Linked DNA regions of Cricetulus griseus. The main gene of each other region encodes a partner of the protein of the gene in region 2 in a complex. Links are inferred from orthologs where the notes say so. Each region holds a gene or a part of one and is shown on either strand. Other genes may lie near its edges.

Region 1 (5,627 bases), on a different chromosome or scaffold from region 2:
GTTTACTTTGACTGAGGACTGGTTATGAACCTAAAGAAGAGACACCAACATTAAACTTTTTAGAGGAAAACAAAAGCAGCATTGTTGAATTACCCTAAAGTATCAGAAAGAACTTATATTTGTAAGGATGGGGTATATTTTTACTCCAGATACTTGAGTAATGTTAGAAGTTACATACCTAAAAATGCTCTCTGGGATCAGGGTAAATATAATAAAGGATAATTTTATAATGTAACTTCAGATGGCTTCAGTGTTCAGTTTGAAGCCTTACTTAAAAATACTTTGCCTGGAAAGTCTGAATATCAAGAAATGAAGAATCAGAACTCCAACATGAAGGGAGATTTCATTTTTGTGCACATTAGCGTAGTCCAGTAGAAATACGCAATGTGAGAAGCTACATGTAAGATTATTATTTCTATGGCCTTAGTAAAAAAACAAGATGGAGCTAGGGAGATTAATTATAATAAGGACTTTCCTAGTAACCATACATGGTCATTCTCCAGCACCTTAGTCAGTGTAACATTTAGGTAAGTAAGCTCCATGTATAGCTTACTGGGTTAAAGAATCTTGGAGAAGGGAAGCATTAGGCTACTGTAGAACAGAGGTGATGTGTTCCCTTCTGACCCTTTACATGCCCTGAAGCATAGAGTTCTCTTCATCATTACTTGGAGTCTTGAATCCTTCCAGACTTATGGGAGGAGAATCCTTCTGAACTGGAGACCAGCAGTGGTACCAGCAATGCTTCAGAGTGTGTGTGTGTGTGTGTGTGTGTGTGTGTGTGTGTGTGTGTGTGTGTGTGTGTGTGTGTGTGTGCTTTTTTAGCACATTCATGTGGGAAAGTAGCAAAAACATTTTCCTGTGTACTTTAAAACAATACACACACACACACACACACACACACACACACACACACACACACACACACACACACACACACGTATAAGTATATAGATTTCCTTTGATACTGTGGACCTTCTCTTTGCCATACTTCTCCATTTCCTCTCTCTCTCAATGTGAATAGACCTGAACAGTAGCAGTAAGTGAAGTCATCTAACTTAATTCTATTTTGACTTTTTCATCTATTACTGTAGTCTGCAGACAAATGTACCTAACTTTAAGCAAAGCACTTTTTCATGTTAATTTGACACAGTAATAAATTTGGTTCTTGAATTAAGAAGGAGGGAACTCCATCTTAATCATGTTTGTTTTTGCAGGATGATCCATTGGTGCTCAATGAGATCAGAGAAGACCTTCGAGTAGAATGTGCCAAGTTTGGACAGATTAAGAAGCTCCTTCTGTTTGATGTAAGTTCATGGCTTGCACCAGTAAGGCCTGACATCTTTCCAAGATGAGGAAGTGACTTAGATTGCCCTGGATTTTAGATTAGTGTTTTTATATCACAGGCCTGCTGTCTGTCAGCAATAGTTCAGTCAGTGAACATGGTTTACAAGGCAAGTCTTGGATTGTTTTGATGTGCCAAGTTTATTTCCCTTCCTTCTGACTCTTAAAAGAGTATGTGATCAGGTGAGAGCAACTAGAATAAAAATGTATGGAATATCAATTTCCTCAAAGTTCTTGCCTTTCTCTGTTATTCACCTGATCATAGTCAAGGAAAAAAAAAACAACTATTGTTTAGTTTTCTCTGTACTTCCAAGACTGATAGAAAGTACTTAACTGACCATTTCTTACAATGTATTGCTGGTATGCTGCAAGGGGCTTTATACATTGTGCTGCTTAACCCTCAGAACCCTTTGAAGTAGGTAGCTACTAGCTGTACAGATAAGGAAGCCACATCTTTTCAAGTAGAAGTAGAAGTACTTGTAGAAGTGCTTGTTCAGTTCCTGACAGGCAGGCTTTAATCTCAAATTCACACTCAAACAATTACATGGCCTTAGCTCTTGGGTAGTATTGTTAACAGAAACATTTGCAAGGGCACTGTACTGGTTCTTGCTAGACAAAATGAAGCTAAAGAAGCAGCTGACCACTGGCTGGAATAAAAGGGAAGAAAGATTTCAGAAGTCTTTTAGTTCAGAGTTTCAGGAGAATACTACTCTTTATCAGTCTTATGAAATGTGTATCTGATTTTTAATCTTGTCATTCAGTCCTCCTTCTTCTTGTCTTTTTAGAGGCACCCAGATGGTGTGGCCTCTGTGTCCTTCAGGGAACCAGAGGAGGCTGATTATTGTATTCAAACTCTTGATGGAAGGTGGTTTGGTGGCCGTCAAATCACTGCTGAAGCCTGGGATGGGACTACAGATTACCAGGTAAATCCTGCAGCTCTCAAGGGCACAGGAACTGTTGCCTTGTCAACTGTAGATCTAGTTTGGAGGTTGCTTTAATCTGTTTTGTATAATACATCTTGTAAATAATGTTTTGCATTAGAGGATAGAGAAATTCTTATCACTTCTCAGCTTGTAAGTCTTTAATTTGGAGGTTTTAACCTCAGAATGATAAGAATAGAAGAGTGCTAACTATTCCTCATCTTTCTTGTTAAAGAGAATGTACAGAGCTCCAATAGTAATGTTTTAGGAAGTGGAACATTTCAACAGTACTGGGATAGTCACATATATTTATATGATTTTATTGCAGGTATATTGTGTGTAAGGTTGTGTAAACAGGTATATAGTTTTGAAGACCAGAGTAAGGACATGCATGGATTGCTTTAGAAAAGTTGCTTTATAGAACGAGGGTACTTGTGTCAATAGTAGAACTTCCCAGAGAAGTTGTTGCTTCTTTTTGCCTAACATTCATCTTAACCGTAGTCTCTGTTTATTCACAGGTAGAGGAGACCTCAAGAGAGAGAGAGGAAAGGCTGAGAGGCTGGGAGTCCTTCCTCAATGCCCCTGAGGCCAACAGAGGCCTCCAGCGGATGGATTCTGTCTCTGCTTCAGAACAGGCAGGGCCTTCCAGAGGAAGGCATTTTTCAGAGCACCTGAGCATGTCTACCACAGGTGCTCAGGAAGCTACAACTGGAATAGCACTTGAAGAGCCTATCGATGAAAAGAAGTTTGAAAAAGCAGAAGATGGGGGAGAATCTGAAGGAGATGCTTCTGAAAAAGATGCTAAAGAAGGTGGGTACGAGGAAGGTTACCCTGAAAGAGAGGGTGAAGAGGGCTCCTCCAAGATAGAGTGTGAAGAGGGCTGCCCCAAGACAGAGTATCAAGAGGGCCACCCCAAGAGAGAGAGTGAAGAGGGCTACCCCAAGAGAGAGAGTGAAGAGGGCCACCCTGAGAGCAAGCTTGAAGAGGGGAATCCTAAAATGGGATCTCAAGAGAATGGCCCTGACAGAGAATCTAAGAAGAAAGGCAAAGATAATTATGAAAAGAATGGCCTGGCAAAAGAGTCTGAAGACAATGAGCTCAGCAGAGAGTCAGAAGGGGAAGAGAGCCTCAAGAAAGAGTCTGAAGATGATGACTCAGAGGAAGAATCCAAGGAAGACTGCCCAGAAAAGCTGTATGAAGATGACTCTGACAAGGAATTAGAAGAAAATGGTGTTAAAAAAGATTTCGACCAGGATACCTCTGACAAGGAGTTCCCTGAAAATGTTGAGAAAGAGTCAGAAGAAAATGACACTGACAAATCAGAAGGTGATGAAGGCTCTGAAAGAGTGTTAGGTGAGGAAGGCTCTGAGAGAGAATTTGAGGAAGACTCAGATGAAAAGGAGGAGGAGGAGGAAGAGGAGGAAGAGGAGGAAGAAGACAGAGAAGAGGAAGAAGTTGTATATGAAAAGGTTTTTGATGATGAGTCTGATGAGAATGAGGATGAAGAAGAAGCAGAAGAAAAGGAGTGTGAAGATGCTGATGACAAAGAGGAAGAAGATGACACAGATGACAAGCTCTTTGATGACTCCGATGAAAAGGAAGATGAAGAAGATAGAGATGTAAAGCAAGATGAAGATACCAATGACAAGCTATTTGAAGATAATTCCAATGAGAAGTTTTTTGATGAAGAAGAAGATGCCAGTGAGAAATTGTTTGATGATTCTGATGAGAGAGGGACTATGGGGAATGTGAAGGAAGATGGGTCTCAGTCCACCGACAGCAGCTTTGCCCTCAGTAGTGATGATGATGATGAAATGTAATCCTTTCCACTTGCTTTTTAGGGAGAGCCCTGCGTCTCTGTTTGCCTGTGCTTCAGGATCAGTAGTAGTGTTACATCAACAAGTGCATAGTGGTAGGATGCCATCAGACTAATGTCTCGAAGGTTTTTGTTCTTACCTATAACAATGAATTTAAATGTGTCTATTGGTTCTTCAGTTAAAACTTCATAGTTTAACGCAAGGAAACTGGATACCTGTCGTTTTGTTGGATTTGTTAAATGCATGCAAAAGAATATTTTTAAAGTATCCTAATTGGAGTTTGTGATATTCAGAAATAAAGATAAATTGATAATATGCAGAAACTGAGATGTGGACTTGAGTTGATATGTGTTTTGAATCAAATATCACTTGATTCCTCCCACAGTCCTTGTTTCCACCTGTGTCACCATTTGGGATAACCTTCCCCATTCTGCAGTACAACATGGTCCTAAAGTCACAAGATAAATGACATTTTAGATCCTTTCCCCAATCCTTGGAAGTTACATGTTATCTTTTTTACTCTTTCTATTAAGACTAAGATGTATAAACTGAATTCAATGTGGTCTATACCTTCAATTATTGAAAATAGAAGGTAATCAGAGGTTGACTATGCTGGTTTAGAAGATGACTAAAGAGATGAGTTCTCTCTCCAGAACAATGTACGCACAAGCATTACACAGCTTCTTATATACAGTTTGGAGAGGCCCATGAATTCCTCTGGAGATTAAGAACTTTCTCCCTAGGAATATACTTTGTGTTTTGTTTTAGAGTCACAGTTCCTAGTATTGTACCATGTCAGATTGCCCCAATACAATTATGAATCATCCTTGATCGAGCTTTCTCAATTCAGTATTGGTGAACTTTCTAACAATGTAGTGTCTAGAAGTTCTGTTGGGAGCAGTGAACTCCATCAATGCTCAAACACCCACTTACTAGAGACAATCTCTAAAGGAAAGGCATGCTTTGCCTTCTATACACATTGGTTGGAATGTGCAGTTCTACAACATAAATTAGGTATACAACTCTGCCAAGAGAGGTCTTGGTGGGAAGTGTGTAATTTTGACTCTAGTGGCAGCAAATACCTGTAATCCCAACCCTTGAGAGGCAGAGTCAGTGGTGCTGCAAATCCAAGGTCATCCTGGTCTCCATAGGTTCAGGCCAGCCTCAGCCTCATAGTGAAACCCTGTCTCAGAAAAGCATAACTTGAAAATCCAGACCCTGCCATTTGATCAGTTGTTTGGGGGGATTAAGAAGGATTAACACTGGTTGGCAAAAACTCCTTACCATTTGTAGATGGGAAATATGGCAATTCCCCATCTTTTTGGACTTGATGGTCAGCATTGCCAACCCTAGCAGCTTACCATCTGTACCTGTGTGCCTGTGTTTGACACGCATACGCGTGTCTGTGTTTCAATTAGGGTATGCTGTCCCCATAACCTGGCCAATTTTTCCAAGTTCTTACTTTTTTTTATTTTAGAGGCACTCATATTTACATATTCACCCCCCATTCCCTCACCCTCCCATCCTCCCATGTTCCCCACCAACCCCC
Region 2 (5,731 bases):
TCTGCCTATTGAGCAAATTATCACTAAAGCAGTACCTACCTATTAATTGTGAGGTTATAGAATACGATGGTGGTCTTTGAGATTTGTAGATATTCTTTGCTCTGCAGTCTTCATCCTGTGGATACATTACTGATCTTATTTTGAATCACTTCTTACATTGTTTTACTTTAGCTTTGAATTATTTATTTTTAATATTGGCTCTGGGAAAAATATTGCTGGGTTAAATCTTATAGGATTTAGTTAGTTGGTCTGGGTAGAAGTCCATCAGTTTCCTAAAAACCTAAGTAGAAATTGAATCTTGGTAAAAACAGTGAAATCAGACTGTTGATCAGACATTTACTGAGCATCTGACTGCTGGCAAATTGTATTCATCTTGGGGCAGTAGAGAGCTACAGAACTTCATATTTTACCTGCAGAAATATTTTATAAAATGTTAACATTAAAAACTCAAAGCACTGGGACTGGAGAGATGGCTCAGAGGTTAGAAGCACTGACTGTTCTTGCAGAAGACCTAGGTTCAATTCCCAGCACACACATGGCACCTCACACCTGTCCGTAACTCCAGTTCCAGGGGATCTGACAACCTCACAGACATTACATACAGCCAAAACACCAAAGCACATATCCAAAAATAAATTTAAAAAAACCCAAAAACTTAAATAACAGTCACCTCTAAGGGGTAGAGTGGGGACTTGGTGCTACACCGGTTGGTTAGTAATGGATTGTCATGGTAGTTTGAATGAATGTGGTTGTTGTTCTTAAATTTTTATTCACAGCCTGAAATGATGACTTTAATTTCATGTCTCTTCTCTGACATTTTTCTCTGGAGATGATTTTTGCTTTACTGATCTGATCAGGCTGTAGAATGGAATATTAGCTGTTTCTTTGTTCCTGGGTGTTTAGTATGTATTTCTAGCAGACAAGTTTTAGTTATTTTGTTCAGTTGGCAGCTACTGTGGTTATTATTTGTATGTTAGACCTTGATGGTCTGTATAGTTCCTATTGTTAAAGTACTTAATTCTAGAATAAAAAGTACCTATTTCTAAGATGTTGATTATATATTTGGCCTTACTAGAATGACCTGGATGACCCTGAAAGAGGAATGATTTTTGTTTGCTCTGCCACCCATAAGACCAAGTCCATGTTCTTCTTTTTGGCTCAAACGGAGCAGGGAGATATCTTTAAGATCACTTTAGAGACAGATGAAGATATGGTAAGTAGACCATGGATGGAGGGGGGAAATATGTATCTGTTGTAGTCTATTTTTAATTTGAATATAATTTAAAACTCTTGTCTAAAGTACTTGGCTATATATACATGTAAGATTTACAAAGCTGCTTTGCAACCATCATAACTTTTCCCTGCATTAAGATAGGGAGTAAGTACACCTGATACTTGACAAGTCAAAAAGAGGGCTTTTGCCTTGTCTTCTTGTTTTGTTCTATTTGACTGTGGTCTCATGGAGGCCTGCTTTTTTTTTTTTTTTTTTTTTTTTTTTTTTTTTTTTTTTTTTTTTTTTTAGAGGAAATGGAGTGGGAGTGAATCTGGGGAGAGGAGGGGAGATTGTGGGGGGCTGGGAGAAGTGGAGGGAGGGAGGGGAACCTCACTGGGATGTATGGTTATGAGACAAAAACATACTTTTAATTAAAAGAAAGAAAGAAAAAAGAAATTTAGATACCTTAGAAAATGATTACTTTTACTTTTGGGTTTGAATGTGAAAATGGGTTTTCCTATTCTGGCTAATGAGTATCTGGTCTTGTAAAGCCATAACAATAATTGATGTGAATAGGAGAAAGCTCTTCATGTCTCGGTAGTTGATAAAATGCATGGTATTTTATTGACGTGATCCTTAACAATGGACATTTAGTTACCTAGGTACTGTTTAGTTGGGAATTGCTAAGATTTGTAAAGGTTAGGTAGTCATTTTCAATTTTTCTGTGTCATACAGACTCAGTCTAAATTAACTTTGGCATTGAAACAGAAAGAGCAGTAGACCCAGCAGTCTGAGTTATCATTTGTTCCCTTTTCGTTTAGATACTGAGCATGGTGGGGTTTTGTTTGTTTGCTTGTTTTTGTTTTTTTACTTAGTTCTGCTTGTGGTGCATAACAGCAGGCTTCTGTGGCCAAGCTGCACTTGCCTTTACACTAATCTTTTTCTCCAGGTAACTGAAATCCGCCTGAAGTACTTTGATACTGTACCTGTTGCTGCTGCAATGTGTGTGCTTAAAACAGGCTTCCTTTTTGTGGCATCAGAATTTGGAAATCAGTGAGTAATCCTTTTATTGTCCCAGTTTACCTTGGTTACCATAAATAGTAAAAGTTGGCAGAAGGGAGGTGTGGTTGGTGTGGTTTCAGAGCTAGGGAGGTTTTCACAAAGTAGTAAAGGTTTTTCAGAACAAGTAATTGCTTTCATTTTCTCTTTGTTTACATTTTCCCCAGCCCTTCTTTTCTATTGCATATTCTCTCTCTTATTTAATAAGTGTTTTTTTTAAAGTTATTTAAAATTTTATGTGTATGTCTGCTGAGTATGTATATACACCACATGCATATAGAAACCTGAAGAGGGCATCTGGAACTGGAGTTACAGATGATTGTGAGCCATCAAAATATGGCTGCTGGGGAGGCTGGAGAGATGGCTCAGAGGTTAAGAGCACTGGCTGCTCTTCCAGAGGCCAATTCCCAGCAACCACATGATGGCTCTCAACCATCTATAATGAGATCTGGTGCTCTATTCTGGTATGCAGGCAGAACACTGTATACATAATAAATAAATCTTAAAAAAAAAAAAAAAAGATATGGATGCTGGGAACCGAACTCAGGTTCTCTGTAAGAGCAGCAAATGCTCTTAAACTACTACCTTCCCAAGGCTTCCCTCCAGTCCCATTTTTCTGTTCTTTTTTTGTGTGTGTGCTTTATTTCATGGCTTCAGTCACTGCCTCTGAATGTCTGCAAAAATACCTTTAGCTGAGTGTATGGTGGTACATACCTGGATTCCAGCACTTGGAAGGCCAAGGCAGGAGAATCTCAAGTTTGAGGTCAGCTTGGGCTACATAGTGAGATGATTGTCTCTAGAAAACTAAAAACCAGAGAGATTCCTACAAGAACTTCTTGTGCAGACCTAAACTTGAAGGTCATTAGTACCTACACTGCCTGCCCACATCACCAGTGTGCCATGATCAGGATTTTTTTGTTATTGACTAAAAGAGCCACTTCTAGTAATTTGTAAGTTCTTAATTTATTTTTCCTCTACTACTTTTAGTCAAATGCAGAGTTCTCTTTTTACTTCTTTTTGTGGTTTCAATCTAAATTTAACTCGATTGGGTTTCCTGCAAAATCCAGTCTTCATAGAGTTGTCTCCATGCCACCTCAACAAATTAGAACAATCCTTATTGACATATTTCCTGTATCTCTGTATTAACAGTATTTGGTGAATTTTCACTGCCAAATGGAAGAAATCTCAACTGTAATTGCTATTTAAAACCAATATCCACAACTTCAAATGACATAAATGACAAGGTCTTGCCAGTAGCTGCTAATATGTATGCAGAACACTTACTAATTTAAGCTCAGTTTTCTCATAATTAAAATACAGATACTTTCTAGGAGATTGTACTATTTCTGCCTTGTCTCCAGTAGAAGCATGTGTGAGTATATAGGCCAGACCTTACTGTCAGGTATTTTCCTCAAGGCTCTTTACCTTATTTTCTGAAACAAGGTCTTGGGTTGAACCGGAAGTACACTGATCCATGCTTGTCTCCCGAACTCTGAGATTATAAATGGGTATTACTGCATCCTGATTTTTACATGGGTGTTGGGCATGTGTACTTAGGTCCCCATGCTTGGATGTTAAGCACTCCTCCAACTGAGCTATCCCTAGTCCATACTCTTTCTTCAACATGCCATTTGCCTAAGTACCTTTTTTCATCCCCGTTGAAGTTTTTACAGCTAACTTTGAATCACATCCCATTTCTTAGTATACTGAAATCTGACTATGCTTAATCGTTTATGCATAACCTGTGTCAAAGAAAGTTCTTTGCTTTTTCCCAGCTACTTATATCAAATTGCCCATCTTGGAGATGATGATGAAGAACCTGAATTTTCATCTGCCATGCCACTAGAAGAAGGAGACACATTTTTTTTTCAGCCAAGACCACTCAAAAACCTTGTGCTTGTGGATGAACTAGACAGCCTCTCTCCCATTCTGTTTTGCCAGGTATGACTTTATTCAATCACCTCTACACTGTGCCATCTTGTTATTAAATTGAAATGTGATCATTTAAAGTTTTCCTCAGGTTGAATTGTAGTCTTAACAAACAACTTGTCTGTGGAATCACTGCTGTGAAAAACTGGTAGTTAAAGGAGTTCAGGGCCTAAACCTATCAGTCTATGAGGGGTGTTTGTTTTGAGACTCTGTGTAGCTCAAGTCTAGTTGTGAACACACTATTCTACTGCCTCAGCCTCCTGAGTGCTGGGAGTACAGGGTTAAGCTGCCCTGCCTGACTAATTGTGTAAGATTGAAGTTCAAGACTGTCCTTGGTGCAATTACATATGAGTTGGCTAGCCATATCAAAAGCATATGTGTAGATATATAACTATTAATGGGTCTAATAAATTTTTGAAATAGTACTTAAGGTAATTGGAACACCTGTAAACTTATGTTAAAATTGTTTTTATGAGTGACAAAGTTATAATCAATGTAATTTGACTCTTTTAAGTGGAAGAAAACACTAATTTCAGATGCAGGTTATAACAAAACTTCATTTCACTAAATGTCAAAGTTCCTTTTTGACTTCTGAACAAATTACATAAGTGTTTGGTTTTTCTTGTTTTTTTTTTTTTGTTGTTGTTGTTGTTGGTGGTGTTTTGTTTTCGTTTTTTTTTGTTTTGTTTTGTTTTTCATGACAGGGTTTCTCTGCATTCCTTGCTGTCTTGGAACTCACTGTGTCAACCAGGCTCAGGCTGCTGGCTTCTTCCTGCCTCGGCCTTGTGAGTGCTGGGATTAAGTGTGCCACCGCCACCCAACAGTGTTTTGTGGGGTTTCGTTGTTTGTTTAATGTGGAACACTAGGGCCTTTTCTCTTATCCCAGTCAGTAGCCATTATATAACTTTAAACCAGAGAATAGTTTGTCCTTTCATAGTTGTATTTGAAAGCTTAGTACAATAGACATTTTCCCCTTGTTGTGCAGATAGCTGATCTGGCCAATGAAGATACTCCACAGCTGTATGTCGCCTGTGGTAGAGGACCCCGGTCATCGCTGAGAGTCTTAAGGCATGGACTTGAGGTAAGATGGGAATTTCTTGGTTCTCTTTATGATGTGAAAGGAAGGTCTGCACAGAACATTGTACAGGCTAACTTTGAGGAGGTCAAAGATAAACTACTGTTTTTATGAACAAATATGTACTTTCTCTTGTCCCTGAAGTTTATGGAGTTCAGATTACTTTTCCCTTACTAGTTCATTCCCTATGACATCTTAGCGGAAGTAAATAATATTTTCCATGACCATTTGAAGTTAGAGTTTGTGGTTGGCAAAGGTAGGTATTAAGATGACTGTCATCCTTTTTCTTTCCTTTTTTAAGATTTATTATGTATGCAGTGTTCTATCTACACATTTGCCTGCAGGCCAGAAGAGGGCATCAGATCTCATTATAGATTATTTTGAGCCACCATGTGGGTCCTGGAAATTGAACTCAGGACCTCTGGAAGAGCAGTTAATGTTTTTTTGGGGCGGGG

Evidence for each region. The genes of interacting proteins can lie anywhere in the genome.
Region 1: Sf3b3 (region 2) and Htatsf1 share a complex: the UniProt entries of both Homo sapiens proteins name them as parts of the 17S U2 SnRNP complex. The link is inferred for Cricetulus griseus from reciprocal best matches to the Homo sapiens genes SF3B3 and HTATSF1.

What each region holds. Positions count from the first base shown.
Region 1 is NC_048604.1:15,371,931-15,377,557, reverse strand, and holds the end of Htatsf1 (HIV Tat-specific factor 1), read left to right. Parts: intron 1-1,214; coding exon 1,215-1,304; intron 1,305-2,126; coding exon 2,127-2,264; intron 2,265-2,779; coding exon 2,780-4,081; 3' UTR 4,082-4,405; downstream 4,406-5,627. UniProt on the Homo sapiens protein: Component of the 17S U2 SnRNP complex of the spliceosome, a large ribonucleoprotein complex that removes introns from transcribed pre-mRNAs.
Region 2 is NC_048596.1:187,228,301-187,234,031, reverse strand, and holds part of Sf3b3 (splicing factor 3B subunit 3), read left to right. Parts: intron 1-773; exon of another isoform or gene 774-861; intron 862-1,075; coding exon 1,076-1,213; intron 1,214-2,162; coding exon 2,163-2,266; intron 2,267-4,047; coding exon 4,048-4,213; intron 4,214-5,186; coding exon 5,187-5,282; intron 5,283-5,731. UniProt on the Homo sapiens protein: Component of the 17S U2 SnRNP complex of the spliceosome, a large ribonucleoprotein complex that removes introns from transcribed pre-mRNAs.